2 linked regions of the Alligator mississippiensis genome follow. The protein of the gene in region 2 interacts with the protein of the main gene of each other region in a pairwise test. Links are inferred from orthologs where the notes say so. Each region holds a gene or a part of one and is shown on either strand. Other genes may lie near its edges. The genes, in order: PDCD6 and ANXA11.

What was found.
Region 1: the proteins of ANXA11 (region 2) and PDCD6 interact in binary tests that used the Homo sapiens proteins (3 or more experiments, as listed by UniProt). The link is inferred for Alligator mississippiensis from reciprocal best matches to the Homo sapiens genes ANXA11 and PDCD6.

The regions. Positions count from the first base shown.
Region 1 is NC_081826.1:146,214,392-146,230,534, forward strand, and holds the start of PDCD6 (programmed cell death protein 6), read left to right. Parts: upstream 1-7,560; 5' UTR 7,561-7,599; coding exon 7,600-7,670; intron 7,671-9,336; coding exon 9,337-9,398; intron 9,399-16,143. UniProt on the Homo sapiens protein: Calcium sensor that plays a key role in processes such as endoplasmic reticulum (ER)-Golgi vesicular transport, endosomal biogenesis or membrane repair.
Region 2 is NC_081829.1:33,907,159-33,923,832, reverse strand, and holds the start of ANXA11 (annexin A11), read right to left. Parts: upstream 9,043-16,674; 5' UTR 8,911-9,042; intron 1-8,910. UniProt on the Homo sapiens protein: Binds specifically to calcyclin in a calcium-dependent manner. Required for midbody formation and completion of the terminal phase of cytokinesis.

The sequences.
Region 1 (16,143 bases), on a different chromosome or scaffold from region 2:
CTCCACTAGGGGCTGGGGGTGTTAATCAGCAAATTCCCATGCTGTTCTTGAAAACCATAAAAGCTCCAGAGCACGTAGTGTTCAGATGCCTCATGCCATGGAAGAGCAGAGAGCCCTGGAGATTTGGTATGAGATGGAGAAAAGGTCTGCAAGTGAATTGATTTTCTTCCCTGTGAAGAAATGAACAGGTTGACAAGTGCTTTCTCTGGGGGTGTTTAGAGACAGTCCCAACAGCAGGCCTTAGCACCTGGTCAGATATGGAACATGGAAGTGAGATGTGCTGTAATCTCCTACTCAGCAAGTGGCAGATTATCTGGACACAAGGTCCACTCCACAGAGTGCGTCCAGAGGTACATCCAAATCCTAGCCTGCCTGACATCTGTAATAGGTGCGCTCCTGCATTGAGCCACCCACCTCCCTACGCCCAACCACCTTCCAGGCTCTGAGTGCCTCCCTAGGGGCGCCTCATGTCTGGCCAACCCCCTTCCTGGAGCACACCCGCTAGCCTGGGGTTTCCACTGCCACCTCCCAGAACTCTGGACTTAATTCGGGCTCTGCGCGCTCTGGGAAATACAGCCCTAGTAGCCCTCAAGGGGACTTGATTCACTTCAAGAAGTTGGGATGCTTCCCTCAGTCAGAAGCACAAGTAGTGGTCTCCCTTAGTCTGCCGAACCAAGGGGACCCCAAGGCATAATCTAGACCCACTCCCAATAAGTATCCCACACTAGGTCCAAAGGAGAACTTTATTGGTTACAGAGGGTAGGGTTAGAATAGAGTACAGGGTAGAGCAATATCAGAGAAATCCCATAGAGCAAACTCCTGTGGCTGGGGTAGCTTTTGATCTTGCATCTGAGTTACTGCAAGCTATAGATCTAGGTGGATCTCAGGTAGCTTACTCACAAGTATCATCCAGAGGCAGGTGGAGAGTCCCTCTGGAGGCAAGCAGTTCTTTGATCATGAATTTTGAGAGTGAGAGCCAGTTTCAGATAGTACAGTTCTTCTTTGTTCCCGAGTATCCCTCATGGCTGCTGCCCCCCCTCCCCCCGTCCCGGGCAGTCTTTAACTTATATAGCCCTTGTGACCTCATTTACCTGGTCCAATGGAGGTCAGCACCTGTTGGTTGTCAGCCAACCAATTTGAAATACATCACTAGTTGCCGGGCAGACTCTAGCCCACCAGGAGGGAAGCCCCTCACCCCCCTATGCGATACTAGTCACCTAGGCAGAGGGAGCAGGTTTCCCCCCTCCCTCAGGAATGTATCCAGCTCAGGTTACCTAAAGAGATAAGGTAAGGATGTCTCTCTCGGCTGGGTCCATCCTAATTAAAATTGTCACAGAGCTGAGTTTTTGGGAGGGAAACAAAGGTGGCTTTCTGCCACAGGGTAAACCAGCAAAACTAGGTCACCTCTAGGCTCAAGGTGGGGAATGCTGGCCCTGGTGAAGTCAGTGACAAACTTCTTGAAAAACCTCCCTTGGCCTTCAAGGTAGTCAGAATTTTCTCCCATGGTCTTCAAAGCTAAAGGAGGCCAGACTGCACATTGGCCCTTCAGAAATGTGTTCAGGGGGATACAGTGCTTATCCTAACTTGTCATTCAGTGACCTTTCCTGAACTGGCTATTTATTTATATCTTTATATTTAATTTGATTTATATCCCACCCTGTCCAGAAGGCTCTGGTCATACACAGAGTGTTTTTCATGGGTGACTGTTATTGTTCATGCTAAATGTTTGATTCATACCCAGTAGACAGCTGTTGCTATGTAAAGAAGGGAGAATAGAGGAATTAATAAACACATTTATTGTCCCCTCTCATTTGTTCCTGCTACAGAGAAACAAGGCCAAGGAAATGAATGATAAAATGACAGATATAATGATGTGGTCTGTGAACGAGGTAACCAACATCATATACCCAGCTATAAGACAGTATAAAGAGAGAAAGAGTAGGCTCACCCAAGAGTTAGACCTGGATGCAGCCAGTACCACACTAGTGGGTGGTTACATTGCATCAGTTTGGGAAGGTGGCATTCACAGAAGCAGGCATGGTGCATCTCACTGCAGCACTCCCTGCTGGGGTACAGTGCAGCCTAGACAGGCCCGTTGGAACACAAGCTTGCAGGACACTGTTCTGCAGCGATGCTAAAACAACATCTAAAAACATTAGACGTAAAACTAGAAACCAGTCCCAGTTGAACTGACTGGATGTGTTTTTGTTTACAGAGATTCGTGCTGCCATACACCAGGCGTGGGATACAGAAGATTCTTTTGACATGTCTGAGGTCAATATCTTGTAAAACCCTTTGTGGCCCAACTTCCTGGGATTACCAAAAGTCTCTTGGCTCCCCCAGCTGAGTCCTTGCATTTTGCAGGCTCTTCACTATTTCATTCAGTTCTAACTTCTGCTCTGTAACCTCTACACAGATCTTGCCTTTAGGTGTGCAGTGGAATCCATTCCCCAGCCCAGTTGCTCTAGCTGTTGAGATCTCTGGCTCCAATCTTACTATCCCTGAAGTCAAGGGGTATTTTTCCACTGGCTTCAATTGGAGTAGGACTGAGTGCTTTTTTCTAACCTCTACCCTAATTATTCTTTCTTTACTCCAGTCTATCATATGTATTATGTCTTAAAAACTAGTGGAATCTATATACATGAAGGGAGGCCACTCCAATGTGCTGTAATTACAGTGTCTTGGAGCAGACTCGATTCATTGAATCTGCTGGAGTCTGTTAATTACTGCACTCCAGCAGATTCCAGTGTCACATGTATCAAGGTCCCTGCACTGAAAAATGGCGCCCATGCACGATGTTCTGGACACTGTTACACTGATGCTTTCAGAGCCGTGCTAATTTAAGCACCCCCCACCCCACTGTCTTCCACAAAATGTCTATAATGCCCTAGTTATACCCAGAGAACACCCTAGTTGTTACCTGTGATGCATATAGCCTTCCTAGGCCCACATCTTGCAGACTTAAGCATGTGCATAAAATCATGGACATCACATAAAGTAATACATTACCTTAGGAATTGTTACTTAAGAAGGGTATTGAAATCTTTGGATGTATTGAAAGGGAACGTAGATCACAAGTATGAAGGCATTATTACCACTGTCTATGGTATTAATTAACTCCTTATTGGATGCTGCATCCAGTTCTCATGTTCATGCTTAACTGAATGTTGATACACTAAAAAGGGTTCACAAAAGTTACAAGAAGGTATGTAGGTCTAGAAAACCTCTCTCAGTGTGAGAGACTAATAAAGTTCTACTTATTCAACTTAAAAAAGAGGTTTATCAGCAATTTGATCATGGGCTAAAAGCATCTCTATTTAGGGAAAGTTTCTAATTGGTAAAGGCTCTTAAGTCTTCCAGACAGAGGCAGAAGAGAATGCAGTGGCTGGAAGATGTAACTGGACAGGTTTGTTTTAGGAACAAGGTGCACACTATTTTCTTGTTATGCAACAAGTTATTAACTACAGGAACAACTTACCCAGGGGTGTGATAAATTGTCCCTCGTCTGAAATGACTTCATTTCTAAAAGACAGGCTGGAGCATCACCAGGAATTATTTGGGTTGATTCTGATAGCACTTGCTGAAGTTTTGCAGGCTGTTTCACTGCGGATCAAACTAACTGATCGCTCTGGTCTCTCTCTGCCCTTCTAATCTATGAAGCCCTTTGTACATTTGAGACTTAGTGCTTCCTCTCCTTTCCTTCCTTGCATCCTTTAGATTGCCTTTCTTTGTACTTTCTCTAGCTCTATGAGGAGTTTGCATGTGTTAGGAAGTGCAGAATTGGGCAGGAAAGATACTCACACAGCCCAAGGGAGGGGGAAGCATAGAGAAACTGTGGAGACATTATGAGGAGGAAAAGTAGCGGAGGTGGGGAAGGGGCTGAGCTGAGGCTTCTGTACGAAAGACTGTGGCATGCCCGACTTCAGAATGTAGGACAGAAGGGGGCCTCAGTCCATCCACTGACCCACACTTCACTTGGTCATTCATGGCATCACCAGGAACTGTGGCTGGGAAGAGAGCCCCACCACTGCTGCCTGCCCCTCATTCTGTGGCTGTGTAATCCTGAGGAGCACAGATCAAACAGAATCCAACCTGACTCTTTTTACTCTTCCCATGGTCCAGGTGGAATCAGCCTCAGAAGATGGTGAAGTGAAAGATCCCTTCTTACCAGTGGAAGCAGGAATTGATATAGGTATGTATGGGGAAGTGACACCATGGGTAAATTAGGTGCTGTACCTATGGTCACAAAGCAAATCTGTGGCCAAGCCCGGGACTGACACTAGGCCTCCTGAATCTCCATTCATTGACCTACCCAGAGACCATCATTGCTGCTCTGTCTAACACTTTACATGCAGCATTCCAGTAGAGAGAGAGTTTCTTGTCTTCAAGCACTAAATTGTACAGAGCTGAGTCACAGTAGAAGATCCAGCCACGTTGGATATCAGTACCCCACCTTAACACACACCTACATTTTGAGTACCTGCAATGCCTGAGTGGTTACACGACTGGACTGGAAATCCAAATGCATTTCCCTGTACAGAATCAAATCCTGTCCACAGGAGGGCCTTGTCTCTTGAGGAAGGTAGGACTAAATGACCTTTTGAGACCGTTGATTTATTCTTCTGTATTATAAGACATTTCTCTTTTCTCCACAGCAGCAGCTGCCAGTGTTCCAAGAAAATGATCTTCATTTTTTAAGAAGATACCACACGCTCTGTCCAGAGCATTCTCTTTTCTCTCAGCTTGCCTAACTTGCCACAGAGAGTTTCGGAAAGTCGCGCCAGAGACGATACACATGTGCTAAATTGGTTTAGGAAAAAATAGGAAAAATATAAATAGTTTTAGGAAAACAGGTGGACTGGTAGAGGCTGCCATTTCTATTTTGTGATTGCTTGCAACTTAATTCCCATGTAGCTAAACTCAACACAAAGGACAGAGGAGGCAGAGACAGGAGGTCAACTCTATAGGGTAGAGGGAGGCTGCATTATTCAGGAGCTAAGGTGAATCCTAAACAGGTGACCATGACACTGGAGGGGAGTTGGAGAGGGAGGTCAGGAACCTACTCAACCAGTAAGTATTGCCACAAAGGGCCAAAGAACATGTTGAGAGAACTTGGAGGTGCCACCTAGCAAGGGTGGAGCGTTCAAGCCAGTAGACAATGCCATCTGGGGATGGCAACATTCTCCAGCTGGAATCAGAGGGGAATCGGAAGCACCCTGGAACTGAGACATAGTTCTCAGAGCCAGCAGATAAAACAGTTTTCTGAGTCATTAGATACAGCGGCTGGAGTTTGACCAAGCTGCCCGAGCAGAAGAGCAGCATGGGAGAGCTGCATGCAGGGAGGAAACACCCAGTTCTGAGGACCAGTCTGTCTTGGCCTGGCAGTAGGGAGGGCTGAAAAGAACAGTGGTGATGCCCTGATCTCTGCTCCCTTTAGGGACCTCAGTGTCACCAGAGGAAGCTTGGGACTCCCTCCTATGAGGGTCTGAATCATCTCTGACCCATCTCTAATATGTGCCACTTTCCCCCAAGGGCTGGAGTTACTCAGGTGCTGGGGAAAGGGATGCTGCCAAATTCACAGCTACTCACCGCCAAAATTCAAAGCTTAGGGTACAGAGCCCCCCCAGGTTACACCTGGCTCCCAAAAAATGAAAATTTCTTCAGTATTATGACTTCTTTAAGCTCTTGCTTTTTGAAATCCCCACTCCATAACTGGGGACAGTTCCCAGGCTGCCAGCTCCCACAGGGACTGAACACAAAACTCCCATACCAGCTCCCAGCACAGCCGGAGGGCACTGCTTCTCCACAAGGATGTTCTAGACCAGTGGTACTCCACCTTTTTTGTACCAGGACCCATTTGTAAGCTTCAGTGGCCATTCCTGACCCAGTGCCCCTCACTCCTGACCCGCTGCCCCTCTCCCCCAAGCTTCAGCCCTCCACTGTGGGTGTGTGGGATGGAGGGGTGTGAATGGGGCTGGGGGGCGGGGAGGGAGGCATCCAAGCAGCACCTCACAGCCTGGAGCTTTGCCAGCCTGCAAAGAAAAAGATGGTTTCCCAGAGTTTTCTCCTTTAAAGGAGAATCCACTTTTAAAGTTTGTTCACGACCCTTTCATATATTCTTATGACCCACTTTTGGGTCACAACCCATGGGCTGAGAAACCCTGTTCAAGTGCAAGCCACGAGCTATGGGCTGCAGAGCCCTGTTGCAGTGAGTTCAGTTTATGGTCTCTGCTGTTCCCCCTGCGCCTCTAGTTTCAGGAGTGTTTCCCATCCTTCCCCAGGCTAGGAAGGTGCTCCACTGAACCCCCCCATACTCCTTCTCAGGTCTCATTTAGCACGAATGAGCCTACCTGACCCAGGGCTCACGGGAGAGGAGAAGATGGGGGAGTGGAGTGGTCTGCACTGGCATTCTCCATCATCCTTGCATGCAAGTTGGGTTTTCATCAGGGCAAGGAGGGAGAGCTGCTTCCCCCTGAGGAGCCCCGACTGGCCAAGGTATCCCAGAAGGCAGGCTAGCAGGACAGGCAATCAGCCAGAGGAGGGTTCTCTATTGAGGGCTGAAGTGCATTTCATTATAGCAAAGCCAGCCTCCTCAGGGGCCCAAAACTGTCAGCAGCAATGATATCCTGTAAGGCTCTCAACACTGCAAGAGCAAGCTTAGGTAGGAAAACACTTTGGCGAGGATGTAGTCATGCAATAGGGGGAACAGGGGCAGGGGAATGAACAAGACACCAGCCCTGGGAGCTGATTCTGAGGGGCACCAAAGTGGCAGCCCCTAGGAACCTGCACCGCTGCCGCCCCAGCAGCCCGTGCTCACTCGGCGAGCTTGTGCCAAGGGAGCAGCAGCTTGCACCACCACCGGAGCAGCCCCCGTGCAAGAAACGAAGCGCTCGCTTGCCCAAGCGCCACCACCCTCAGGGCACCAGCACCTGAGCGAGGCCTCTGGCTCAGGCCCGTTGCTGCAAGAAGCTGAAACGAGGACAAACCAGAGCAAGGCGCAGCCAGGTCTCGGCTCCCTCGAGACTCGTAGCCTGCACCCAGGAAACAACGCCGTCCTGACGTGCCACAGTTGCTACGGCTCACCCCGGGGTGCTGCTCCTAGGGTCACCCGGCGGGACAGAGAGAGCGGGGGCAGGCTGTGACGCCTCCACCCCGGGTGGTCCCTGTCCCGCGGGCCGTGGCTGGGGGGCTGACAGGGTCGGGAGGAGGGACAGGGAGAGGCCGGCGTTTCTCAGGATGGCTCCGCACCACGGAGCAGCACGACCCCGCCGGGGGCTGTCCCCTGCCCCTTGCCCCGTCCCCCCGGGAGGCGCCCCCGCCAGGCCACTGCTCTCGGGTGAGAACGGCATGAGCCGCCGTGTCTCCTGGGCCCCTCGTGGAGCGCGGGCTCCGGGGCGGCGACAACCACCCCTGCGGCGAGGGCGTGAACCACCCGCGGGCAAGAGCCAGACCGCGCCCCACTCACGTCACGACCGGGGCGTCACCAAGCCCCGCCCCCGGCTGGGGGCGGAAGGGGAGGGACGAGGCGTCCCGGAAGTGCCGCCGCGCCTTGGCCCCGTGGCTCCCTCGCGGCCGGAAGTAGGCGGGCAGCGCGCGGCCATGGCGGCGATGGGGCAGCAGTACCGGCCGGGTGCGCCGGACGCCAACTTCTTGTGGAGCGTGTTCCAACGGTGAGCACCCCTTTCCCCCAACTCCCTGGCTAACGGCCTCGTCCGCGTGACGTCAGAGCTGTCGAGGCTCCCGGGGCCGGGCGGGGAGCGACTGCCGGGGGGGCCGCCCCCCGCCTTTTCCGCCCCCAGCGGCGCTCGGTGCCCGGGGCTGCTGCGGCCGCCGCCGCCTCCCTGCGCCTGGGGCAAAGCTGTAGGGAGGTTTCAGCGCCGCCCGCAGTAATGGGGCAGGCAGCTTGCCACCGTGTGCCTCCCCACTGTGCCTGCCCTCGCTGCAGCCTCGGGCTGCCCCTGGCTCCGCTCCCCGCGCTGCTGCTGCCCCTGTGGTCTCGGGCCTTTGTCCGCCTTCCTCGCCTGCCCTGCCGCCGCCTCCTCCTCCTCCCCCCCGCCCCCCTTTGCTTCCTGCTGGCAGGCTCGGTTCCTGTTGCAGCAGGAGTGTGGGTGCAGTGCTGCTAGGGGCTGGGCTGGGCACATGCTCCGTGCCCCAGGCTGCAGCAGGGAGGGAGCCCAGCAGAAGAAAGGGGCAGTGCGGGGCAGGGAGAGGTGGCGTGGGGGGGCAGGACTAGGGGCTGCAGGGTAAGAGTGGCTGGGTGTGCAGAGGCGGCTCTGGCTCTGGTCCTGACCCCTGCTGCCTTATGCTCTGCTGTAGGGTGAAGGGCTTTTTTCCCCCATGTTAAATGAGGGGTGGGGGGAGAAACATTGCCTTCTAATAGAGTCAGTGCGGCCGGTGGCACCTACGTTGTTGCAAGTGTTGTGACACCTTCTGTTGCATTGCGCGCTTCAGCACGTGGATGCTGTGGACTCTGGCCTGATGCCTCCTTCTTTACAGACCATTTTGTAGGAAGGCTCTGTGCCGAACTCACTTCTGTGGCCTCCAGTCTGGCATCTGGTGCCTCACGTTTAGGTATTATTGCACTGTCCGGGCTTGTTTGTGGTTGTAGCCTTTAACAAGCATGACATGTTCTGTTTTTCTAAAGATGCCCAGTTATTTTCTAAGAATCTTATACCAAAATCTGTGACTATGGTATAATTTTTCATTGTTTTTTTTCTTTTTCATTTAAAGGAAAATACCTCTTTAAAGGTTATTCTCTGTGTTCGTTAATGCTCAACCTGGTTTACTCTAATAATCTTCCTCCTTTTTCTTGGCAATTTTTATCTCTTGTATGTTTATAATGAAATGGTCTCTTCATTATTATACTGAATTCATTAGGTGTGGTCTGCAGAAGACAGTCATGTGATGAGGTCTCCATGACTACTTATTTACAGTGATAATTATTTACTTCTGTTTGTGTTGTCTTTGATCCATGGTGCAGCAAAAGCCTTAGGTTTATGGTAACCTTAAGATACTTACTGTATTTTTGTACCTAAAATACCAGATTTTTTTTTTTGAATTTTTTTCTTTCCTTATCCTGTATATTGAAAATGTGGGGTCCCAGTCTTGCAAATATTTCCATTTGGGAGTAGTTTTGCTACAACCATAGTCACTCTGACTTCAAATTAGACGCATGCATTAAGCGTGCAAAATCAGGGCTTTTGTGCTTCATTGAATTTTTGCTGTTTTAACATTATTATTGAAAACTTTTTTCTTTGAGAGAATTTCTTGAACGTTTCAGGTTCTAGAGTGGAATTTGTTAATTTGACATGGAAACATTTAAAATTCTTTTTGCAGGGTTGATAAAGACAGGAGTGGAATAATATCTGACATGGAACTTCAGCAGGCATTATCCAATGGTAAGTATAGCTCCATCCAAAAGTACTTTATTGAAAGTTGAGTACAATATCTCACTTGCTTTTTGGATTATATAATAAATGTTATTTTCTACGGGCAGTTAAAGCTCTGGTATCCAGCATAAGTTGAGAGTCGCGGGGTGCCGGGAATCTGAACATGCCGGTTACTTGAGGCACAGGGGTTTCCAGCTGGACGCAAAGCGGGGGCAGGGGGTGGCAGTGGCTGCAATGGAGTAACAACAGCATAGGGTGGCAGTGGCTCCCTGCAAGCTTCCCCTGCCCACCCCTCGCAGCCAGCTGACTGGCCAGAAATTCTGGTTAGTAGAGTATTCTGGCTAGTCGAATGCCGGATAACAGGGCTTTTACTGTACAAAAGAAACTGATGATCTGAATAAAGAGGTAAGAGCAATCCTCTCAGGAAGGACTGAAAAGAACATAAGAGATTATCAGGTAAAGAACCTGTAACTTTCTGACCCTGCATGCTCATATACATATATTTTTAACCCTTAAGAAGGAAGTTGGATTTGTTTCTTTTTCTTTTTAAAGATTCTTTATTAGTCATTTTATGTACTTAAGTGGTAGCAACGTAACAAGCCCAGTTTCTGGGAATTGGATTGTGTTATACGAGAGGAAAAGCATATTAATATAGCCTCCCAGCAGCTTTGTGTTTTCATACAAAATATTTACTTATATCTCTGAACATGCCCTTCCCTTTTCTTAATCAGTCTGTAGCCCAGGGACATTTTGCAGGAGTACCTCCAACTGGTTTTACCGAACAGGTAATCTGTGGCATATCATGATGCAGGCAGTGAGCATGGTAAGAAGACTGAGGTTCTATGACAGGGCTGTCCAACTTTGGAACAGCTAACTAGGGGTGGCACACTGCACTGGTCACAGGCCTTAGGCCACTTGCCATGGGAGCTGAACACTGCATGGGCTCCCAGGACCCCTGAAGCGTAAAGTTTCACCACCAGATAGGCAGCACAGCCATCAAGCTCCCTTCACCACATGTGAGTAGTGAGCTCACTGGGCCCCCTCTCGTTATGCTGTTGGCCCCAGCACCCAGTAGCCTGTATGCTGCACGTTAACCCCTTGCAAGCTGGATGTGGGCCACCAGTTGAAGAGTCCTGGCTGATTAATTTCTTACTGGATACACAGATAAATGTCTGTGTAGAGAGGAAGGTGGAAAAGTGTAATCAGTGCTTCCAGAAGCCATTTCTTCAGCAGTTCCCTAGTTTATTATTAGGACTTCCTAGCCACCATGAAATCACTTGTGTTGAGGCGTTGATAGGGATTATAATAAGCTTATCAGTGATCTGAAGGTGAAGTTCAGGTATCCTTGTTAAACATTTTTGTTTTATTAACTTTTGTTGCAGTTCACTGATCATGTAATGCTATGAGAGTGGACCTGGTTGTTCTTTAGTAATTTACTTTTTTTCTGGAAAATCACAGACACTGAGTTTGGGTAGCTCCTCATTGCTTCCCAAGTTCCTTTCATGTGAGGTCCCTGCAAAGTTTAATTCTGTCATCCCTTCTGCTCAACCTGTCTGTGAGGAAGGTGAGTCGAGTCTGAGTGATGTTTTGGGTTGCAGTGCTAAGATCAGTAAAACATTATTTTTAACAGTCATCGTCTGTTTAGGAATATATCCAGGCAGTGGGTTTTACCATTACAAATCTGGTGCCATTATAACCTGTATTTATTGTTTTTGAAAGAATTTGGTTTTATATTTTGCATGATAGAAGATTACAATTGAGGGTGGATCCAGAGGGGATGATTTGGTGTGCCCTTAACCCCTTTCTGACCATGCCACAGGAGCACCATTCCGGGACTTAAGGTTCACGTAAAATAAGAATTTTGTCCCTTCCCTTTCCATCCATGCTCAAAGGCATGACCCTTCTCCTTCCTGCTGCTGCTAGGTCTGTGCTGTCCCCAAGGCAAGGGGAGCTCCTGCCCACTCCAGCTGGGCTGTGGGGGGGTAGGCAGTAACTAAGCTCAGTGGGGACCGTGGTATCCAGCAGGCACATTCCCCCTCCCTTGCCTGTGAGGTACCCTGATAGCCTAGGAGCAGGCACAGGGAGGGGGGAATGTGCCTGCCTGCTACTGCCGCAGTCTTGGGTGAGCACAGCTTGGCTGGAGTGGGACAAGAGCTCCCATTGCCCCCAGAACAGCAAGGACACCAGCAGCGGCAGGTGGGGAGGGGAGGGGAGGGGACATGCCTCTGAGCACAGAGGGGAAGGGAGGAGGGAAAATGCTTACCGTCCCCAGGGTTTAAATCCTCTACTGCTGCTCCTACAGTGTCGTCTGCATGCCCCCCTGTCGGGGAGATGGCAGAGGAGCTGGGGGGTGTAGCCATCACTGTAGCACGAGTCACCTCATCCCCCTTTGTAAAATTCTGGATCCATTTCTGATTACAGTGGATAGATGCTCCCCCTTGCCCCCAACCTCACCACCAGAATAAACTGCTTGAAAAGGCAGAACAACATTTTAACAAAAATAGGTGAATGAATTGGAGTGTCTATCTTCATTCAGACCTTAAATTGTTCTTTACAAGGATTCTGGGCCCCCTCTCTTCATCAGTCCTTAAATTAGTTTTGTTTTCCTCATAGTCTACTCCAGTGGTGATGTTACCCTTCCCAGCTTAAATTCTGCACAACTGTTTCTCTCGTCTATTTGCCATACTCGGCAGCAGCTTTCACTCTTGATTATAATTTAATGAGAGCACCCCTGTCTAAACAACAGTAAGAAAACTGAGAAAACAGATAAGCTAGTCAGCTCTATAAACACACGTTTTCAGATGCTGTGTTCATCCTCTAGAAGATTCGAACAAACCATGCTCCCTAATAGTTCACTATATGCTCCCCCCACCTCCCCCTGGTATTAAATGGCAGTTGATTCTGCATACACAAAATTAATTGCTTTAGTCACCAATGGTTTTATCCACTCCCTTTCTTCTAAGTGTCTAGATGTGTGCTTGTGCCTTTGTTTAACTTGACAGTAATATGTGTGACAAGAACCTACACGTTGTCACCGTGTCCTTTTTATTTTTTTTAATGATTCTTAATTACGTATCCTAATGTTTCCAATATCTAATATTTGAATGTATGCTGTGTTCATGTGAATACATTAGAGCGACTTTACAACCTTTGCTGCTTGAAGACCAGTGACCAGCAGAGTCAGGGTAGGTTTGGTTCGCATTTGGAAAGTTATCTTCATAGCTGAGCATATTGTAGAAGCTAATAATTAAAACAGAAAGAAATTTCACTGAAAACATAAACTCTATGAAAAGAATGGCTTGGGCTTTTCTCTCCAGGGAGGTCTCTGCAGGTGGTACATAGACACCCCCCCCCCCCCCCCTCCGTTCAAAAACACCTTACAAATATTACATACTCCTCTGTCATAAGAAGCTGATACTAACAAGCTACTGCTCAGATTTTCTGGTGGCTACTGGAAGTGGCAAGATCTATCATTTTGCAGTGTCCATGTATAGTCTTTTTCCTCTGTTGCAGCAGTCCTATTCAGTAAAATTCTTGGCTGAGCTATTGGCATTGCCGTAGCCCTGATGCTGGAACAGGCTAAAACTAATGTGTTAGGAGCCCTTGTTCTGGATGAACATAAGCTTTGAGTTGGACCAGTTGAGCAATATGTTTGACACACAAAAGAAAGTCTCTTTAAAAAAAGAGCAAGGACGTGCCTAAAACTAAATTGGGGATAGATTGATGTAGGGAGAAAACAGTTGCTTCTCCAGTATTCTTTCTTATGAAAAAGAGAATGTTTGGACCTTGAACTGTATTCTTGGATCTGTGGCTGATTGATTTTCCACCCCCCCCCCCCCCCCCCGGTGCAATTTGTAAGTGTAATTAGACTTACTCTTTTGAGACTGTAGAAGAAAAGCACTTGTGATTAGGGTTCAGAGATGGAAAAGAAACTCAAGGTGACTAAAGTCTTTGCTTGCTTGTTGCTTTGTATGACTATCTGACCCTATGCCCTTTTTTGCTAGAGGACTGAGGATATTTGGAATATTGGGAACGTAACATTGAAGGCAGGTGAAATTTGAGCAGAGACTCTTCTGGCTCCAACTGAGGCAGAGGGGATGTGGGTATTACACTTGGGTAACTACAAACACAATTTGTTTAGGGCAGTAGACTCCTTGGATTCCATGGGGTTTTTGTATGTCTTGCCTTCCCAGAGCAAAAATTAGACTGTATATGCAGGCAGAGTCTTAGGGCTCAGTTTCAGTCTCCCTGATGAACCTAGGACTGCTGCTGAGTATCTATAGTCTGTCCACTCCCTCTCCAGCACACTCATGCTTAGGCAGCAAAGAGATGCTGAGCATGCATCCTAGTACTGCTCAGATTCTTTGGTCTTGGTTCACTTGGTGCAGCTAAAGCTGCAGGCTTTTGTCTGTAGTGCACTGATATTTCTGCCGGGACTTTAAAACTCATGTTTAACTCATGTTTTTGGCTAGAGGATCCCCATACATGGGCTCAGGAAAAAATGTTTCCTCTTGTTCAGAAAGGGCAAAACACCTGCAGTATGGGCCTACTCTGTAGCATGGGGTAGGGTCCTCTTCCTAGGATCCTCTGAGCATATATTAATTAACCAATGACTTCTCTGACATTTCAGGAGCAGGGTATTGGCAGTGCCGCTGTCTCCACTGCTTTTACATACAGTGTGTTGTATGTTGAAGTTGTAGTTTTGGAGAATCTTTGAGTAGATGGCCCAGGAGGCCTGACCATCCTTGGGGCATGTGTTTAGAGCTACTCTTGAATATTATAGAGCTGTGGACCGTGCTTGGGATCATTGCATAGGCCTCTACATGGCATGAGCTCTGGAGCTAGTTTCAAAGGTGGAGCGCGTGGGCAGGGCTTATCTGCCTGGCAGCAGTCCTAGGCTGGGGAGGAGTTCCGTTTTATCTTTGTCATTGCATCTTATTTCCTGACAGTCTACCATTTCATTGTAGGGTGCCACCCACCACCTTTATTTTATTTCTAATGCTCCTAAGTTGTTTGCATCCTTTAAAAACCGCAGTCCAGTAATAGATACTATTCCTATGCATCTCCATTATTCCTACAATGTCTGGTTCAGTCTCATACTAGGAGCTTGAGTTCCTCCGCTCCTTTGCTTTGACTCTGTGCAGTGATGTGCAAATCTGTAGTTTTTTTTTTTTTTCTACTTGTTCTTACTGAAGCTTCCAGTCACAATGTATGCGACCATCTTATCTCTACGTGCAGCTCTCCTGTTCCCTTCCACAGCCTCTCCAGTCCTCAGTGACTCCCAACTGGGCCACTGCCTCATTGCCCATATCGCCTTTGTGCTGCTAGTGTGTTCTTAGTGCAGAGGTTTTGCAGGACCTTTCCAGTTTTCTTCTCAGGTTATTCTCATCAGTCAGGCCAGCTTTGAACCCATAAGGCCAAGGGCTAGCAGCATGTGGCTGTCCTAGCTGGGGCACTTCAGGGATGTTCTGGGAACCGGAGGCTTCACCTGTGCCTGTGTCAAGGCCAGGTGGTGTGGTGCAGCGCAGCATGGCACAGCACTAGGGCAGTGTCAGCAGAGCCACAGAAGCCTTTGTTCCTCTCACTGCTACATTTCCAGCCCCACGGGCAGCCCCCTAGGCCAGAGGACACAGCTTCACATTCTGGATCCAGCCCATTGGACCAGAAATTTGGTGGCAGAAAGAGCAATTGGGAGTATTAATTGACTCAGCTGTATCTTTGATGTGTCTGCCACAAGTGCTGTGCAAGTCCCATGGTGACTTGGTCTTTATTTATAATGGCAGATCTCAGAAGCACTAGACTCTCTAGTGTTTTACTGGAGCAGCATGGGCTCCCCAGCATGGTTCAGACTTAGGTTCCAGTTTGTCATTCAACCCATTATAGTTGAGGTCTAAATCATTCTGACTTCCTGCCCCTGGGCAGGGGGCTGGACTCGATAATCCTCCAGGATCCCTTCCAGCCCGAATGTCTATGAAATCTATGTTCTCCTATTTGTTTTGGCCTACAGTAGATGCTGCTTGCCAAACTTGATAAGTTTTTACATCAGAACCTGTAGGAGCTGGATCAAAGCAGTCTTTTCTTGCATATTACGCACTTTCAAATAAAACACTTTCCTTGTGTTTTTTTGGGAGGTAGAATGGAGGAAAAAAGGATTTTTCCAGTCATGGCTGGCTGTGTGACAAGGAGTAAGTCCTCCTGGAAACTCTGCGTCTACTATTGCGGCAGGACAGGAACTGGGACTAGAAACAGACTTGCCAAATGAAGCAGATCAGCTGCAGCAGTATGTGCCCTCACACAGCTGACCCACTTCATTGGACCAAATGCACAGTACCCGTTGTCCCTCCCGTTGATCATGTGGGGCAGTAAGCCATGTGTTACCTGTGACTGGAGATGCCCCCCCAGGGCTCAATAGAATCACACTGGGTGTTGAATTGGCACCTCTCTGAGCCCAGGAAAGCTGGGCAGGAGCTGCTGGTGCTTCAGGGCCCTGATTCTGCCTGGGAATTTCTAGGGTAGCTGGAGACCGCAGTGTGCTCCAGGCTGCCCACACTCTCATGCCTTAAAGCAAACAGACATCCCTTGCTACATACGGACACAAATTGATACCACCGTAGCCACAAATGTTGGGGTTTTGTGGTGTGACAAAAGGCAAGGACATCCGTTTTCTTTGCCTTCATGCTGCCATAAACGTTATGTTGGACCAAAGGCGACGTCTGCAGGAGCGTCACCCCAGACCCTTTTGTGGGCGGTAGCG
Region 2 (16,674 bases):
CATATTTTGCCCATCCCTGGATTATACCAATGTAAACAGGTCATTGCTCCAGGGCCCAATGATATGCCACTAGCCTTTCTGTAAAGCGACTTCAGTTTACTTATCATGCTTTGCATATCACATAAAGAGGAAATGTTGTCAGTTAACTAAGTTAAAGTCCTTTTACTTCCTGCCTGTAGTCAGACATTCCCTTGGCCTTTTCTGGAATATTTCACAATAGGTTCTAGTTAAAGGTTATGCAAAATTGCAGCACAACTCCTCTAAAACACAGCCTGCTGCTGCTAGCTGCATTTCAAATCTATCACCCACTCTCCACACTCATTTCTTTTTGAATGCCAAGGCAACTTCATGGTCTCAGACGATAATTTTAGAGCATGCAATAGCCAGGCTTTCACAGATAAAAAGAGTGCATGAAGCACTAGAAGATTGTCAGTTGCATACAGCTCTGCTCCTCACACTCAATGGAACTTTCTACTGCAAGGGAAAACCTGTCTATGGTCAGAGGCAGATCCATCTCTGTGACAGCTCAAAATAGTTGGAATAAATTCCAACAGGAATTAGGATCATAACAAGCCTGACTTCCTTCTTTATGTAAGGCATATATCTCTGACCTGCCTTCTCCAATAGATTCAGAGCAGCAGGGAAAAAAAGTCCTCAAACAAGGTTCAAGAAAAACACTGTGCTGCACGCACAATTCCCATCCCACATGTGACAGATGCTACTCACATCTCCTAATGTAGTAATGGGTTGGTGAACAGTATATCGAACAGAAAAAAAAATGTACCACCATTAATATAAGCTACAAAATTTTCGTGTGTCTGAAAATTGTTGAGACAGCCAAACTGGATAACTATGCTGATAGCACTGGCTGCACTGTAGACTGAGACAAACCATGATCAGCATCATTGTAGCTAAATGTGATTGAACTCATGCTGGAGAAAGATTTCATATTGGCTGGCTGACATACTGCTGAACATAGTATTTGATGTAGGTCAAGACTTATGTCCATCATACATAAGATAAAAATGCCTTTAATGTATTTGTTCCCTAAAGCCCTTTAGAACTGTCTGTCTATCCACTCCCTCTTATTTTTAACTTTAGGAACAAACTAATTCAATAAAAGTTTGCATCACATTACAGTAAAAGCAAACATGGTTGGTCTTATGTTAATTACAAATTGAGCAAAGTTCTCATGAATAGCCCATGTTATTCACAGCTTCTCTGTGGGTACTTTTCTGGTTTCAATACAAGAAGTAGGTTATTGAGCACTATATTTAATCATGCTTCAAAAACATTAGTGTCATTCATTGAGACCTGAAATTCCCTGCATAAAGGCAGTTTCAGCAGGCTGAGAGATGAGGACAAATAAAGAAAAAGCTGCATTCCCCTCCCCCTCTCAAAAAGGCCTAACTCTTTTCAATGACATTTAAATTGCTTGCGCAGAAGCAACATCAGTAGTAATGGACACCTTTAAAGTTGACTATTTTGGTAACACACTATAATAGTGCTTCCATGGAAAGCAATATTTTTATCCTGGCTGGGTAAACAAGACTGGGGGAAAAATAATCACAAAAAGCAACAGTGACAAATTGTGGTCAAAACAAGGTCAAAACAGCAAGAATACACGCCTATACCACGTAGTAGCTTAGTACGAAGACTCCTCAAGAGGCACCTCCAAAAGACATTACTGAGCTCTGTACTTTCTTAAAGGAATGTGACCAATACTTATCCTCAAATGTATGTATATGAATCTGGTCAGTACGCAAATAGGTATCTAAAGCAGCAATGTATGTCTGCAATACAGATGTATGTGGGAACCACTTGATGATTTGAGACCTCTGTAATGATAAAGAGTTTCCCATTACAGTTTAAGAGGCAGAAGCCATATTATAGAAGTGCACAAAAAAAATCTAGGTTCAGGCTCCTGGATGAAGAAAATGATCCATTATGATACGTTTCAGCAGAAAAAATGGCAGTCAGAAATTATATATATTCATTTTACAGCTTTACACACTCCAATCAACTTCAGTATTTGGCATTCCAAATTTCAGTATTTAATGCCCTGAAATGAAAGTTAAATACAAAATTATTTCAACCTTGATGCCCTCTGTGCAAGTAAAATGTCTCCACTGGCATGGTTCCAGGACCTAATCAGAAGTCTACCACATACAAATGAAGACTAAAAAAGGAGGTCTCAGAAATACTTAAACACAGAAGGAGAAAGTTGGGTGCAAATATAAAACAAGTTTACAACTCCATCAATAATAATGATTTGCAATGTTCAGGAAGCACTGTGGTATAACACATTTTCTATCACCTGGTTCTCTTTCATATATCAAGAGTGCTTACTTTCACTTTCAACCAAATGAATAGCCATTTTCACAGATTTCATAGACATTAGAGCTGGAAGGGACCTCAGGAGATCATCAAATCCAGCCCCCTGCCCCAAAGGCAGGAAGTCAGCTAGGGTCAAAGGATTTTGCTTCAGTTCAACCTATATGACAATATATAAAATAGATCCACACAAATAAAGCATGTTACACAGAGCTGGGCTTATATTGTGTTTCCTTACCTTTAAACATTACAATGCATCCAAGAGGCAACCAGTAAAACATTTCCTATTTAGTCACAATGACATCTTATGTGACAGAAATAAAAATGGGAGTGGAGTGCTGTAAAGCCAGATGTATCATGAATGAACAGCTACTTCCACTGTTAGATCAAAAGCAGAAAAAACATTTTTCAGGAATTAAAAAAACCCTGATTTATAAAAGCCTAAATAACTCTGTGATATTATAAATTACTAGCTTTTTTATTCTAGCATTAATCTCAGACAGCTGCTAAAAACCTCCCTCTTTAAAGGAAGAAGAAAGAAAAAAACAAACAAACAACCACCACACCACACATGTATACCAACTAGGATTCTTCTTCCCTTTCTCAAGTAGGAAACAGCCATGGTCAAACTATTACACTGGCTCACCTAAAGCCATCCTAAAGAGGGGGAATCTGCACACACTGTGAATCATGTGGCACCACAAGCACTTGGTTTGGAAGGCACTCCTTAAGAAAAGACCTCTTTTTTTCAAAGCATACAATAAGCATGTACAAATGGACAGACTTGGCCCAGATCTGTTCACCACTCACATTGCTAAGACCTGCTACTGGGACATGAAAGCAGAAGAAGCATCATCAGCACTAGTAACTAGTTACCCATAAATTGCTTCTGCCTTATAAATGCAATAGTCAAAACTGCAGCCCATTAATGGGGATAATTTAAAAATTGCTCTCTCCCCACCTTTCAGTTGCATGCTAAGGCAATAACCAGAGATGCTGCAGGAACTTCTCCCTCATCACTGTTACAACCACTTCCCCCAACCAATGTCTTTTCAGACCTCCTTAGATGCAAAATAGCCCAGAAGCTTCCTACTTCCTAACCCTGCCTTTGGTCTCTACAGCACTTCAACCATTTTAGAGAGGTAGAAGGGACTGGAAAGAAATAAAGCCAATGGGTCTAGAGTGAGCCCTAGATCTGCTGGAATTAGCATTGGATTTTGAGTATTGCTGGCTTGAAAGAGTGGGAGCGTATCAAATACTGAAGTTCTGCTTGCAGCATTCAATTGTCATGACTGAAGCAAGGGTATGATCATTCAGGAAGGCAAGGATGACAGGGAAAGAGAGAGAAACCCGTAGTTCTGGCATTTTTTAAAAGTGACATGCTGCTTCCAACCTATTCCATTTCCTTGAGGCAGTAAAGATTTATTTTATCAGCCTACAGAGAAAATAGTGTACCACCCCCACACCAATTCAAGTCATCTCTGTTGAAATTGCTACTTATCCCCTACAAGTCACTACACGAGTGGGAAAAAATGTTCAAAGGAGATTTCAGATTACTACTGGGTTCCAAAGGCTAGTTCCGATTAAACAAGTTAATTCAACTGATTTGTATCACAGCTCTTTAAAGACAGCATGTCCCATCTATGTTTACATTTATATCATAGTGAATGCAGTTGGTAAATGACTGAAAGTTGTGATCTATTCAGTGGTTGCCTGGTGACCCAAGTGAGGTAATGCTGGTTAAGTAATGCACATATTTTCACACGTATTGCAGTCAACACCCTGTGAGACCCATATCCTCTACAGCAGGAGCGGGTAAAATATGGCCCATGGCCGGATCTGACCCATGGAGCAATTCTGTCCCCAGCCCACAAAACCCGTGACTGTCGCAAGGGCATGTGGGCAGCAGATCATGGTTCTGCCCTGGGCCCAGCCCCACAGAGTCACCGCCCTGTTACCCTGCCCCTCCTGCTCCTGAACACTACTGCCTGGGGCCCCGTCCTACATAAGGAGTTTTGGTGAGTTGTTGCAGCAGCCCACTACAGCTCACTAAAACAGCCTATGTGGCCCCTGGGCCTAACTAATTGTCCATCCTTGCTCTACAGAGACTAAGATACTGCATGGAGATCCACATAACTTTCTGTTCATCAGTAAATGCAAGATCAAGTCCAGGAGAACAATGATTCCCATCAGCATTAAATCTTCATATCATAAAGGGGTAATAAAGAGAAAGAAACAAATGTCTGTACGCTTTAGCTATCCTAAGCTGAGAATTTGCATTAGGATTCCAAGTGAATGGAGGGAGAAAGATGAAAATGAAACAATATGACATGGAGTAGTCAGTGATCCCTGGAGCTGCCAACACTCTTAACCCCAAATATCTGACTTCTTTTTTTTTTTTTAAATCACAATTAACATTTGTTCCTCAACATTTTGTTCTGTATTCTTTAGCAAAAATCCTTCTTCCTTTTGGGTATATTAAATAGTCTTGACATACTATTAAAGACAGCAAATACTTAAAGCCCTCCTTTACATTTTTCGATAAGCTTTTTAACTTTCCTACTAATGACAATTCATCCACTAACCCCAGATTTATTTTTCAAAGAGCATCTTTTGTGCTCATCACCATTCCTACCTGAGTGTTTTCCTTTACAAAAACCTTAGGATGTTCACTGGGAAATATTTTATTGCTAGTCAAAATATTACAATGCATACACCAGACACTTGTTTTAACAGGGAGAGGCAGTTAGCTGTGTTAATCTGAAGTTCGGCAGAAGGCAAATCTAACCTGCCTTCTATTTGCTTTAACCATAACTGCAAGATTAATAAGATATTAGCACAAGAAAAAAAAAAGCTTCATGTGATATCAGAATGGGTTTATGAGAACTTAGAATATATGGAACGGAAAAGTTCATATTTAATTGTAACATCAGGTCAAATTGTTTTAGCACAGATGAGTAGCACCCTTATAAATATCTTGAATTCTTTTCTAACCCCATTCACTCCTCTGAGGTTTATAACATTATTTTTTAAAGGCACTAGGCCACCACAACTTAAGAACAAAGCACTCTCATATTTAACACAAGCAGGGTCAAATGTAATTACTCCTAGTTTGACTTTTAAAGAGCACTGATAAATGCTTTTGGAGAAAAATACTGTAAGCTTTACAGTACTCTAAAGTAAAATCCAGAAAAATTCCTAACTACAATAGCCAAATATATTGTAAGCCTCCACTTAGTTTACTGTACATGACTTAAGGTGCCCAGCAAGCAGCAGCCTCCCTCCACAAGTGGGACAGCGGCTCAGGCATTTCCCACCTCATCTTGACAAGTAAGTGAAAAGCTTTCCAAAATATTCCCTGCAAATGTACTGCATTTCTGTTCCACAGGTTACTGAAGTAAAGGAAAAGTGTAATAGCTCTACGAGACCACCTCATCCCTAGCTCTACGAGAGCACCTCAAATACTGGGACAGAAGATTATTTATGGGAGCCGAAAGAGACCTTCACAGAAGTTACCTTTATGGAACATATACAGTAAAAGACATCTGAAGGTACCTTGTAACAGGATAAACGTATCTGGCAATAGCATGCTGAAAAGACACTGTATAACTGTGCAGATAACTTAAGTCCACTGTCTTTTTTAAGAAGCAATAAAACAACATTTACCACATAATTACCGCAAGCACTGAACTGTTCAGGAAGTCGATAAACAAAGTGTACATCTTAAGTAGTCAGAATAAATGGATGAGCTTTGTTCACTAGGGACTGTAAAGGGTTACTGCTGTTTCTCTGTTGATCAGCTAAGTCCTTACTTTAACACAGAGGTAGTCAGCCTTCAACCTGCTTTAACAACGACTTACAAGAACCAGCTTGACCGTATTTAAGCCAGGCAGCCATGCATTTCATAGTGATCATAAGTTTTGTAAACAGGAAAAGTGTAGTTACAAGAAAGCAGAAGACATAACCCTTATACCACCTCAAATGGTGGGAGGGGGGGCGCCCTGCCCCCCCTCCCACCCCGCGTATAGTTGAATTCGCATAAGTTAAATGTGCGTATGATGCGACTGACCTGTATTATGGTGCAGACCAGTGATTCTCAACAAGGGTACTATGGTAGGACTGAAGAGATGCAATATGGAAATAAATAACAAAGGAGAAACTATTGATTTTCTTAGTTATTTTTATACACAATTGAAAATAACCTCCATTTATGAATCTTCCTGAGGCTAACAGAAGGTGTCCCACCTGTGGGATTGGGAAGCCAGGGTAACACATACAGGCATATTTGCCCTACCAGCTGCTTGACCACTGTCAAATGACACTCAAATCTGTCAAACTACTGTCTACTTTGCCTAGTATTTGTGCTCTAACTGCAGGTTCCTCTTTGCACCTCAGGACTGCCACTGAAATTTCATCCCTGATCACTCTGACCAATGCAGAGATAGTAAATGGTTCTCTGCAGGCTAATTCTGCTTTAACATGGTGATTTAAGGACTAGCAAACAAAATATTCCATACACTTGGATTCACACGAAGAGCTGAGGCCTGAATTTGCATGCTTCTTCAATTTTCTTGAAGTAGTCTTCTGCTATTACAGTCTAACCATATTCCCATTAACGTTGTGGTGTTTTGACAACTTTCAGCACTCTTCCTAGATGTGGTTTCATATATTTTAGTGACTTGGGGCATTTATATACCTTCTGCTCCCATGATGTACACCTTTGGGTGACTACCAGGTAAAGGCCTAAGGAGTGGGATTTTCAAAAGCAGTTGAGTTGGGCAATTAACCTGCACTGAAACTGTAAGGAAATTAGTACCTAACTTTATAGTCTATAAATCTTGCCTAACCACCCAAGACAAACCATCAGGTCTTATCTTAAGTCCAGGGGTGGGGGAGGACATGGATAAACACACACACACCTTGGATTATGAAATTTCTTGTTGATGATTATATCAATGCAATTATTATTTTATTTACATTTTGTACAGCTTTCAAACTGTACTGCAATATACATAAGAGCTACTATATCAAGGTAATCATGTTTAAAGCAGCTTGGAAAGAAAAGCATGATGATGTGGCTTCATTATAATAATGTTAAGATTCCAAACTTTATTTTGAAAAGGAAAATAGCCTTTGTTTGAACAAAGAGCTGAAGGGGTAAAAGAAAGATAGAGAAGCAGCTAATCTTTGTGTTTACGCTATGCCTATCACAAAAGAATCACCAGGCTGATAAGCTGAGGGACAGCATTGCACCAAGTAACAATAGCACAAGACCTCCTCTAGAGGTGACTGATTTGTCATGCAGAAAATAACATGCACGTAGAGGAGGGAAAGGAATGTACCACCACACTGTTGCAACAGCTGAGGTTTGGGAGGCCAGACAAAGAAATACTGGTGCCTAGTCCCATCATTATACTATTCCCACCGTTCCCTTCTGAGAAAGACCTTTTTCCCTACATATTGTGTCTGATGCAGTTTTCCCTCCCTTCTATATACAGCACTTTCATTCCTCCTCTTCAGAGACTAGATCCATGCCTTTTATATTTCACTCTGAGAAAAAAAGGCCTTCCAGGAACTCCCTTATCTAGTAGAGAAAAACAACTATTTCCTAGTACAAGCTGTTCTCACTGCTCACTTTCTCCTCTCCAGAGAGAAATCAGGAAGTAATTTTGATGCATTTTTTTCCATTTCACAGTACATAAAAATATGCAATTAAAAAAAATAAGGTGGACATCATTATCCAAACAGTATTCTTAAAGGCCATCTTGCAAAAACACGCTTCTGTGCATGCTTGCTTTCAACCCACGAGGACTTCCAGTAGTGGCAATACAAGCACACACTAGTCCTCCAGGCTACAGCGTGGTTGTAGCTGTGATGGTCCAGGAAATACAAAGAGACAAGGAGGTTCCTGCAATATCTTTTATTGGACCGGCCCTACAGTTGGCAGAGGGGCTAGACAGGCCTTTGGGCACAAGGGCCTTTCCTGAGCTGCAGGCACTGATGCTTAAGCACTCAGACAAGCGTGTGTGGCTCCAAGTCGAACAGCACGACGCCTCCAACTTGCTTTTCACGTAGCTGAGAAAAGTACGCCACCAGATCGCTTGGTTTCATTTTCACACTGGCCAGCGACAGCAACGCGGGCTACAAAGAAGCGCCTCGGGGGAGGCAGAGCCCGGCGTTTTCTTCTCCAAGGACAGCCGTCCTGGGAAACCCGCGGAGGCGACCGCGGCCCGTGTCCCGGCTCCAGCCCCGGGGCGGTCCCACCACTCCGCAGCAGCCGGCGGAGGCGGGATGAGCCCCGTCTTGGATGCCAGTGCCCACTATCCTGCCTTGGTCTACGCCAGGGGCTGGAGCCGTTCTCGGGCCCGGGCCGGGGCCGGCGGCCAACCCCGTTCCGCAGGGCTCGGCCTTTCGGTGGTGTCGCACCCCCGGGCCACGCACAGCGGCACCTCCCGCAGCCCCGCCTCGCCTCGCCTCGGCCGCCGCAGTCCCGAGCGGTGCCTGCGGGCTCGAGCCCAGGAACCCGCCGCGCCCGGCCCCGGCCCCGGCCCCGGCCCTCCCGCAGCTCTGTCCTACCTGCGCCGCCGCCGCGGGCCCGCTTTGCTACAACTGCGACTGCGGCCGCGCTTCTATTTCGGGCGCCCGGAGGCGGGGAGGAGCGAGGCCCGCCCCGAAACCGCCCGGCCCCGGCGGCGAACCGGCCCCGCCCCGAGCTGCTGTCCCGGCGGGCCCTTGTGCCCGGCCCCGGGGCAGCTGGGGCTGGGGCTGGGGCTGGGGCTTTGTTCCCGGTTGCTTCTTCCCGGTTCTTTCCAAGCTCCCCGTCACGCAATGAAAGGCTGTTCGTCATGACTGAATGAGACGAGCTCAGGAGTTGCCATTTCGTCACAAATGTGTCAAGAGCAGCTCTGGAAAAGGAGCCGGGGCCAGCAACAAGGGACTGGGGAAAGGGAACCAACTTCTTTCTGCCTCTTAGTATTGGTCCTTCCCGAGAGACCAGTAGAGACGGGCGGGGCCAGCATGGCCTGGAATTGAAGCAGAGGGAGAGGAAAGGCCGAAAGCCAAAACAAGCCAACAAACAAGAAAACAGCCTGTCAAATTGGCACAGCTCTTGGCTCTCGTTGGGTTTAGATGAAGCCATCCATGGCTCAGAGTCAGGGCACCTCCTCTGAAAACCCCAGCTCTACATTTTTCCTCAGTTTTTGACCACAGAAAAGTAATAAAGCAATTCTTCTCTTGGTCCACAAGGGGTCAGAATGGGGTTTTGGGGTGGTTGGATTTTTTTTGACATTATGGATTCCTATTCAAAATTGCTGCATTGATCTTGTGAATTGTGTAGATGGTTACAGAATAGTCTGCTCTTGTGTAGAAAATTAGGGTTGGAAGGAACCTCGGGGTCACATCTAGTCCAACCCCCTGCTCAAAGCAGGACCATCCCCAGCTAGATCATCCCACCCAAAGCTTTGTCTAGCCAGATCTTAAAAACCTCTAGGAGATTCCACAGCCTCCCTGGGAACCTATTCCAGTGCTTTACTACCACCCCCTGCCCGAGAAACTTTCTCTTCCTACTTAACCTAAACTTCCCTTGCTGCAACTTGAGACCATTGCCTTTTCCTGTTTTTGGCCACCACTGAGAACAGTCTGGCTCCATCATCTGTAACCACCCATCAGGTACTTAAAGGTTGTTATTAAATCCCCCTTCCATCTTCAGATAAAATAAGACTAGTTCCCCCAGCTTCTCATAAGTCATGTTTCCCAGCCCCTAACCCATTTTCATTGCTAATATTCTAATACTGTGCTGCATCCTGTAGCACCCTTAGGTAGGTAGCCTAAAGCTGGAAACAGAGTGGCTAGTGGTTATCATGAGGGATCCGGGGGGTTTTTTGTCATGGAAAATCTGCAGGCCAGCAGAGTTTTAGAGGGCTGCTTGGGTCTGCGGGGAGTGGGATGCAGGGGGTGCCACATGCATGTGTGCACACAGATACGTGTGCATGGCCAGAAATACAGCCAGACAATGGTGAAGAGCAGCTCCCCCAACTGCCTGCAGGTCAGTCTGTGGGGTGGGGGAGGGGGGATATGGTCCGTTCACATGGAAGGGTGGAGGGGGCATAGGTGGTGTGGATGGGGCAAAGGGGGCAGATTCAGGTGGCCACAGTGGGAGAGGAAGTAGGACAGGTTTGGCAGCTGGGCCTGGGTGCACTGCCCAGCCAAGGCAAGAATGCACAGCCATGACCCAGCCAGGGAGAGGGACAGAGCCACAGGCAGCTCCTCTGGGAGGCAGCGGGAGGCCTGGCTGCCCACTGCTGCACACACAGGGCTGGATTAACGCATAGGCAAAACTAGGCACATGCCCAGGGCCCTGAGCTGTGGAGGGCCCGGTCCTTCCCCCTGCAGCAGTGGGGAATAGCCCCATCCATCTCCCTTCCCTTAGCCTCCCTTCCCCTCCCCTCCCCTTCGACAGCCTCACTCCCATGGCACTGCTTCCTCGCGGCAGCTCCAAGCCCTGCTTCCCATGGGCAGCAGCGCTGGGGTTGGGAGGGGGGTCTTAACGGCCTGGGGCCCACAAGTTTGTTTGCCTAGGGTCCACTAAAGTGTTACTATGGCCCTATGCACACACACCTAAGAGGGTTCAGGCGCCAAAGGCAACACATCAGGAGAGCATGAGGGGGCATGTACCTCCCCAGGTTTGTGCACTCCAAGGCCCAGCTGATGGGATCCGGCACAGGTGGGTGGCAAGGCTCCATGCCAGCTGTGCCGCCAAGGTGAGGCACCTCTTGCCTACCCAGCAGCAGCAGGGGGCGGAAGGGAGCACAACTCTATGCTGCCAGCCCTGTTGCTGCCAAGTGAGCAGGGGGTGCTTTGCCATGGCAGCACAGCTGGCACAGGGCTCCTGGTAGCAGCACTGAGCTTCCACACCCCAATTCGCCCTCCTGTGCTGGGTCCTATCTGCTGAACCACAGAGGCCCCCAGGGGGATGGGGAGCCTTGAGCCCTGCAGAAGGCAGCCTGGAACCTTCCCCAACCCCCCCATGGGCTCCTTTTGGCTCTGCTGCAGCTGTGCCACCCATGGAGGGGGCAGGAGCCAGGGGCCAGGCTCTGTGCTCCACTCCAGTCACAGCAGCTACCACCTCCTGTGCATGGTTGCCACGACACAGGTGCTGCTGGCCACCTGCGGAGCAGAGAGTTGGTATGATGCAGTTGCTGGGTCCTGTAGCTCTGGCAGCTGGGAGAGCCCCTCCAGCAGGGCTGAGGGGGTATAGGGGACTGTGAGTTGGGAGTGAAGGGTCCCAGAGGGGATTAGCAGTAGCAGGGGGGTGCAGGTTGGGAGGGAGGGGCACTGGCAGGAATGGGGAGGGGAAAGGGGCTTATGGGTTGTGGCACCAGTAGGGCCAGGTGGCTGCAGGTCCAGAGTGAGGGGCACCAGCTGAGCTGGGGGGCAATGGCATGGGAAGGGTGCTGGCATATCAGGGCTGCTGAGTAGGGCTATGCAAAGCTTCGGGTGTTGACTTGATTCAGAGGAGATTTGGAATGATTTGGCGGTTGACTCTCTGAATCTGAATTGAATCAGGAGACCAATAAAAAGGTTTGACTCAATTTGGAAAAGATTCAGAGAGCTTTGGAGATTCAGGCAGTCCCTGCTCGCTGTCACAGGGAACTGGACCCAGACTTCATGCCTGTAAGTAGGAGGAGGGGGCTGGAGGAGGGGAAGGGGACCATGGGGGGGACATCCCCTGCCTGCTCCCCGAGCCCCCCTGAGTGCCCCCTGATCCCCGCCTGCTATCCCAGCCCCATCAATGGCTTCCCCCCACCCCAGCCCCAGCTTCCGGTTCTTTAAAAAAAAGCCCCTATTCACTAGCTGCTGCCAGGCAGAGGGCCAATCCCCGCTGCTCCCCACTGCCCCATGCTGCATGGGGGGCTCTGCCAAGAGCCCCCATCCCTCCCCTCCTCCCCCCGCCCCCGCTCTCCCAGAGACTGCACATAGGCAGGGAACAGGGGTGGATTTTAGGCAGTGTGTTATAATTCTGCATGTATCATTTCAGGTGGTGTCAATATGTTTACTTTGACTTGAGCATCCCCAGGTGGTACAGGCATATTCAGCCCCAGAAAAACAAAGTGCTAAGTCAGTAGTGTGAAGGGTGGATGTGCTCTCTACTTGGAATTTGCAAACTTATGCAGGATTTTGTTTCATTTGTTGACCTTGGCTTTGGTATTTGATATGTGCTTTTTGTAATTAAGTGTATGGTCCAGTGTTACCCCTACGTAAAATGGGTATTTCTAATGTCCGAGACTGTTGTCAGGTGACATTCAGGTGTCATTTTGCATCCTAGTTTCTCAGATGAGAAGCACAGATTTGAGTTTTGCTAGGGATGGGTTTGAGATACTTGTTTAGGTGGTAAACTGACATCTCATTCAGTGCCCTCTCCAGGATCTTTTCTGTGTTCTCAACATTCTTCCATTGTGTCGTAATGCAAAGATCATCAGCACAGATGAAATGCTGTATCTTTTATTAGATCAACTAAATAGTTGACACAAACACCCTTTTTCAGGCATAAGGAGAGTATGCCTGAAGAAGGGCGTTTGTGCACAAAAGCTTGCAAAGAACAATTTTTCCAACTATTTACTTGGGCTAATAAAAGAGATTGCATTTACCCAAAGAACCTTTTCTGCCTATGTCCTTAGACCAACACAGCTACAATCAACAACCCTAGGTGAAATGCTGACATTCAGCAGGATGTGGCTGATCATTAATGTAGATAGTGAATAAAAGGGGTGTGCATACTGCATTGTAGTAAACCGTTCTTTTGGGAGCACCATCTACTTTTCACAGAAGCACCTATTCTCCAATAGGCTATGAATGGTCTAGTTTAGGTCTCAGTTGTCAGTCATGAGGTACAATTTGTAGATCATGATGTAGTGTTGGATGGTATCATATGCAGCAGATAGGTCAATAAACGCTGCGCTGTGATCAACTTCTGTTGGAGGCACTGGTGGACTTCCAAATTGCTTTAAAATTGTAAATATATCAAAAAAATATTGTGTTCAACTGATACCTATACATATGGTGGCGTTTCATTTTAATCGTGGGAAAACTCTGACTTGAAGGTTTTTAAATCTGAGAATTTTGGATTTTTATCAGAGAATTTGGTGTTTTAAACAGAGAAAACCAGGATCCCTAGCTATCATTTATAAATCAGCTGGAAAAGGCAAAGATCTACAAGGGGGGAAAATCTGCAGTTGCTATAATATTGTGAAAGCTAATTAGGCCTAATGACAATTTTGAGGAGCTTTGGAAGGCCCTAACAAAAATATGCTTAATTGATGTGATGGCCATCACATTCAAAATGATGTGATGGCAAGCCAAGTATGGCACCTTGGAAGGACTGTGTATCCATATTGCAAGTGCTTAAGTTATAGGCATGTGCAGGCAAGGTATGCATGGAAGGTGTGGGATAGGAATACAGAGCTGCTCTGCCCTGCCCTGCTAAACTTACTGAAAGTTACTGCTGGCTGCAACTGCAGACTACAAATCCCAGAAGCACCTGGAAGCAGGAAGAGGAAGTAATGAGAACCCTGTAGAGTCTTATTTCTATGATTCTGGACTGCAAATCCCAGAGACCTTGGGGGCAGCAGGAAGAGGAAGTGACTATAAAGTCCATGCTGGCTATGTGCCAAAGAGCCATGCTCTAGCACTCCCTGGCTTCTGGCCTAAGCTACTGCAGGCATTTGGCTGCATTTCTTGAATCAAAAGTGAATGTGTGCCCAGTTGTTTCTCAATTTATTCTATGTAGCTTAGACTAACCTGCAAAGACTGAATTGATTCAGCCTCAGGTTTTTTGACTGTGTACTTAGCCTTTATGTTCTGTAGAATCCATGGTGTGTGGGTGTTGAGCATTTGCGTGTTAGGCATCAATTTTTGGTGAACAAGAGGTAAAGCTAAATAATTAACAGAAAAAAAGGAGTTTTTGCCTGAGGGCAAAAAAGGTGGCATAAAATCAGTGGAAGCAAGGGGCAATCACCAAGGAGGGTTACACCTCCGTTGCTCGTGATTGCAGCGAGGCTGTTAGGAAGGCCAAAGCAGAGATGGAACTAGGGCTGGCGACCAGAATTAAGGATAACAAAAAGTCCTTTTTCAAATACATAGGAAGTAAGAAGGCACCAGGTAACACAGGGCCCCTACAGGACAGGCTTGGCAATCTGGTGATTGCAGCAAAGGACAAAGCTGATCTCTTTAACAAGTTCTTTGCCTCCGTATTTCTGATCAGGGACCGAGACAACTCCCCCACTAGGATTACGGACAGGTTCAGGGGACACGAAGCCATGCCTAGGGTCAGCGACAATCTAGTTAGGGAACTCTTGGAGGGACTGGACGTGTATAAATCAGATCCAGATGCTCTTCATTTGAGGGTACTGAGGGAATTGGTGGAGGTCATAGCAGGGCTCCTGGCACAGCTGTATGAGCTCTCATGGTGCTCTGGTCCCAGAGGACTGGAAAAGGGCCAATGTGGTCCCCATTTACAAGAAGGGGAGAAAGGAGGACCCGGGTAACTATAGGCCAGTTAGTCTCACCTCAGTCCTTGGGAAGACCGTTGAGAAAATTATCAAGGAACCCATCCGTGGGGGCCCACCATTGGAGGTAATGCTCAAGGGCAACCAACATGGGTTCACTGAGGGCAGATCCTCCCTGACTAACCTTGTTTCCTTTTACAGCCAGGTCACAAAGTCCTTGGATGCAGGCATTGAAGTGGATGTCGTCTACCTGGACTTCAAGAAGGCCTTTGACACTGTCTCTCATCCCATTCTCATAAAAAAAACTAGACGACTGTGGCATTGATGCCTACAGAGTCAGATGGGTGGCAAATTGGCTTAATGGTTGCACCCAGAGAGTGGTGGTGGATAGGTCGTTTTCGACCTGGAGGGATGTGGCCAGTGGAGTTCCCCAGGGCTCAGTCCTCAGGCCTGTGCTATTCAACATCTTTATCAGCGACTTGGAGGTGGGCATGGAAAGCACGCTGTCCAAATTTGCTGATGACACAAAGATGTGGGGAGAAGTGGGCACACTGGAGGGGAGGGACAGCATCCAACTAGTTCTAGGCAGGTGACAGAGGTGGGCAGATGAGAATAGAATAGAATTCAATGCAGATAAGTGCAAGGTGCTACATCTAGGGAGAAGGAACCAGCAACACACCTATAGGCCAGGAAACACCCTTCTCAACAACACAGTGGCTGAAAGGGATCTTGGAGTCATTGTTGACCCCAGGATGGACATGAGCCACCAATGCAAAGAAGCAGTCAGTAAGGCTAACCTCACCTTGTCGTGCATCTACAGATGCATCACAAGCAGGTCCAGGGAGATGATCCTTCCCCTCTATGCAGTGCTGGTCACACCACAACTGGAGTACTGTGTCCAGTTCTAGGCACCGCACTTCAAGAGAGATGTGGCTAGCATTGAGAGGGTCCAGAGGAGGGCCACTCGCATGGTTAGGGGGCAGCAGGCCAGGCCTACAAAGATAGACTAAAGGGCCCGAATCTATTCAGCCTCCGCAAGAGAAGACTGAGGGGATCTGGGTGGCCGTTTATAAACTCACCAGGGGGCACCAGCGGAAAATAGGCGAGGCTCTGTTCCCTTGGGCACCACCTGGGTTAACCGCCATAAATTGATTGACGGCAGGTTCAGGCTTGATATCAGGAGGCATTACTTTATGGTTAGGGCTGCCAGGATCTGGAATGGGCTCCCTAGGGAGGTGGTGCTCTCCCCTACGTTGGGGGTCTTGAAGAGGAGGTTGGATAGATATCTGGCTGGGGTATTATGATTCCAGCACTCGTTCCTGCCCAGGGTACAGGGTCAGACTTGATGATCTGTTCAGGTCCCTTCCAACCCTAGAAACTATGAGTTGTGTGTTTGAAAATGGCAGAGAGCACAGAAAAGAAAAAGAAGAGAAGCCACTGGAGAAGCAACAGCTCCAACACTAGACCTGATCTAGTTTATAAGGTTCACAGAAAGTTTTGGTATTACCTGCAAAAAACAGTTATTCCAAAACATAATCTTTGGACAAACCAATACCCTTGCTGGCTTAACCAGTGCTATTCCACCAAATATTTTAGGTTTGATTATCTATCATTTTCCAAAAAGCCTCCGAAATTTCTGACTGTCTAGGCACCATGCAGAGACCACAGATACTAAATTAGCTGGATGACAGACTATTCACTGGGAACATGGATTGTCAAGAATTAATACCCACAGACAGTTCTAAGGCTTATTGTAACATCTGGTTTGAGACATACTACAATAATAATGCATACCTAGTTACCAACAGATGTCAAAGCATTTTAGGGTAGGGTAAAC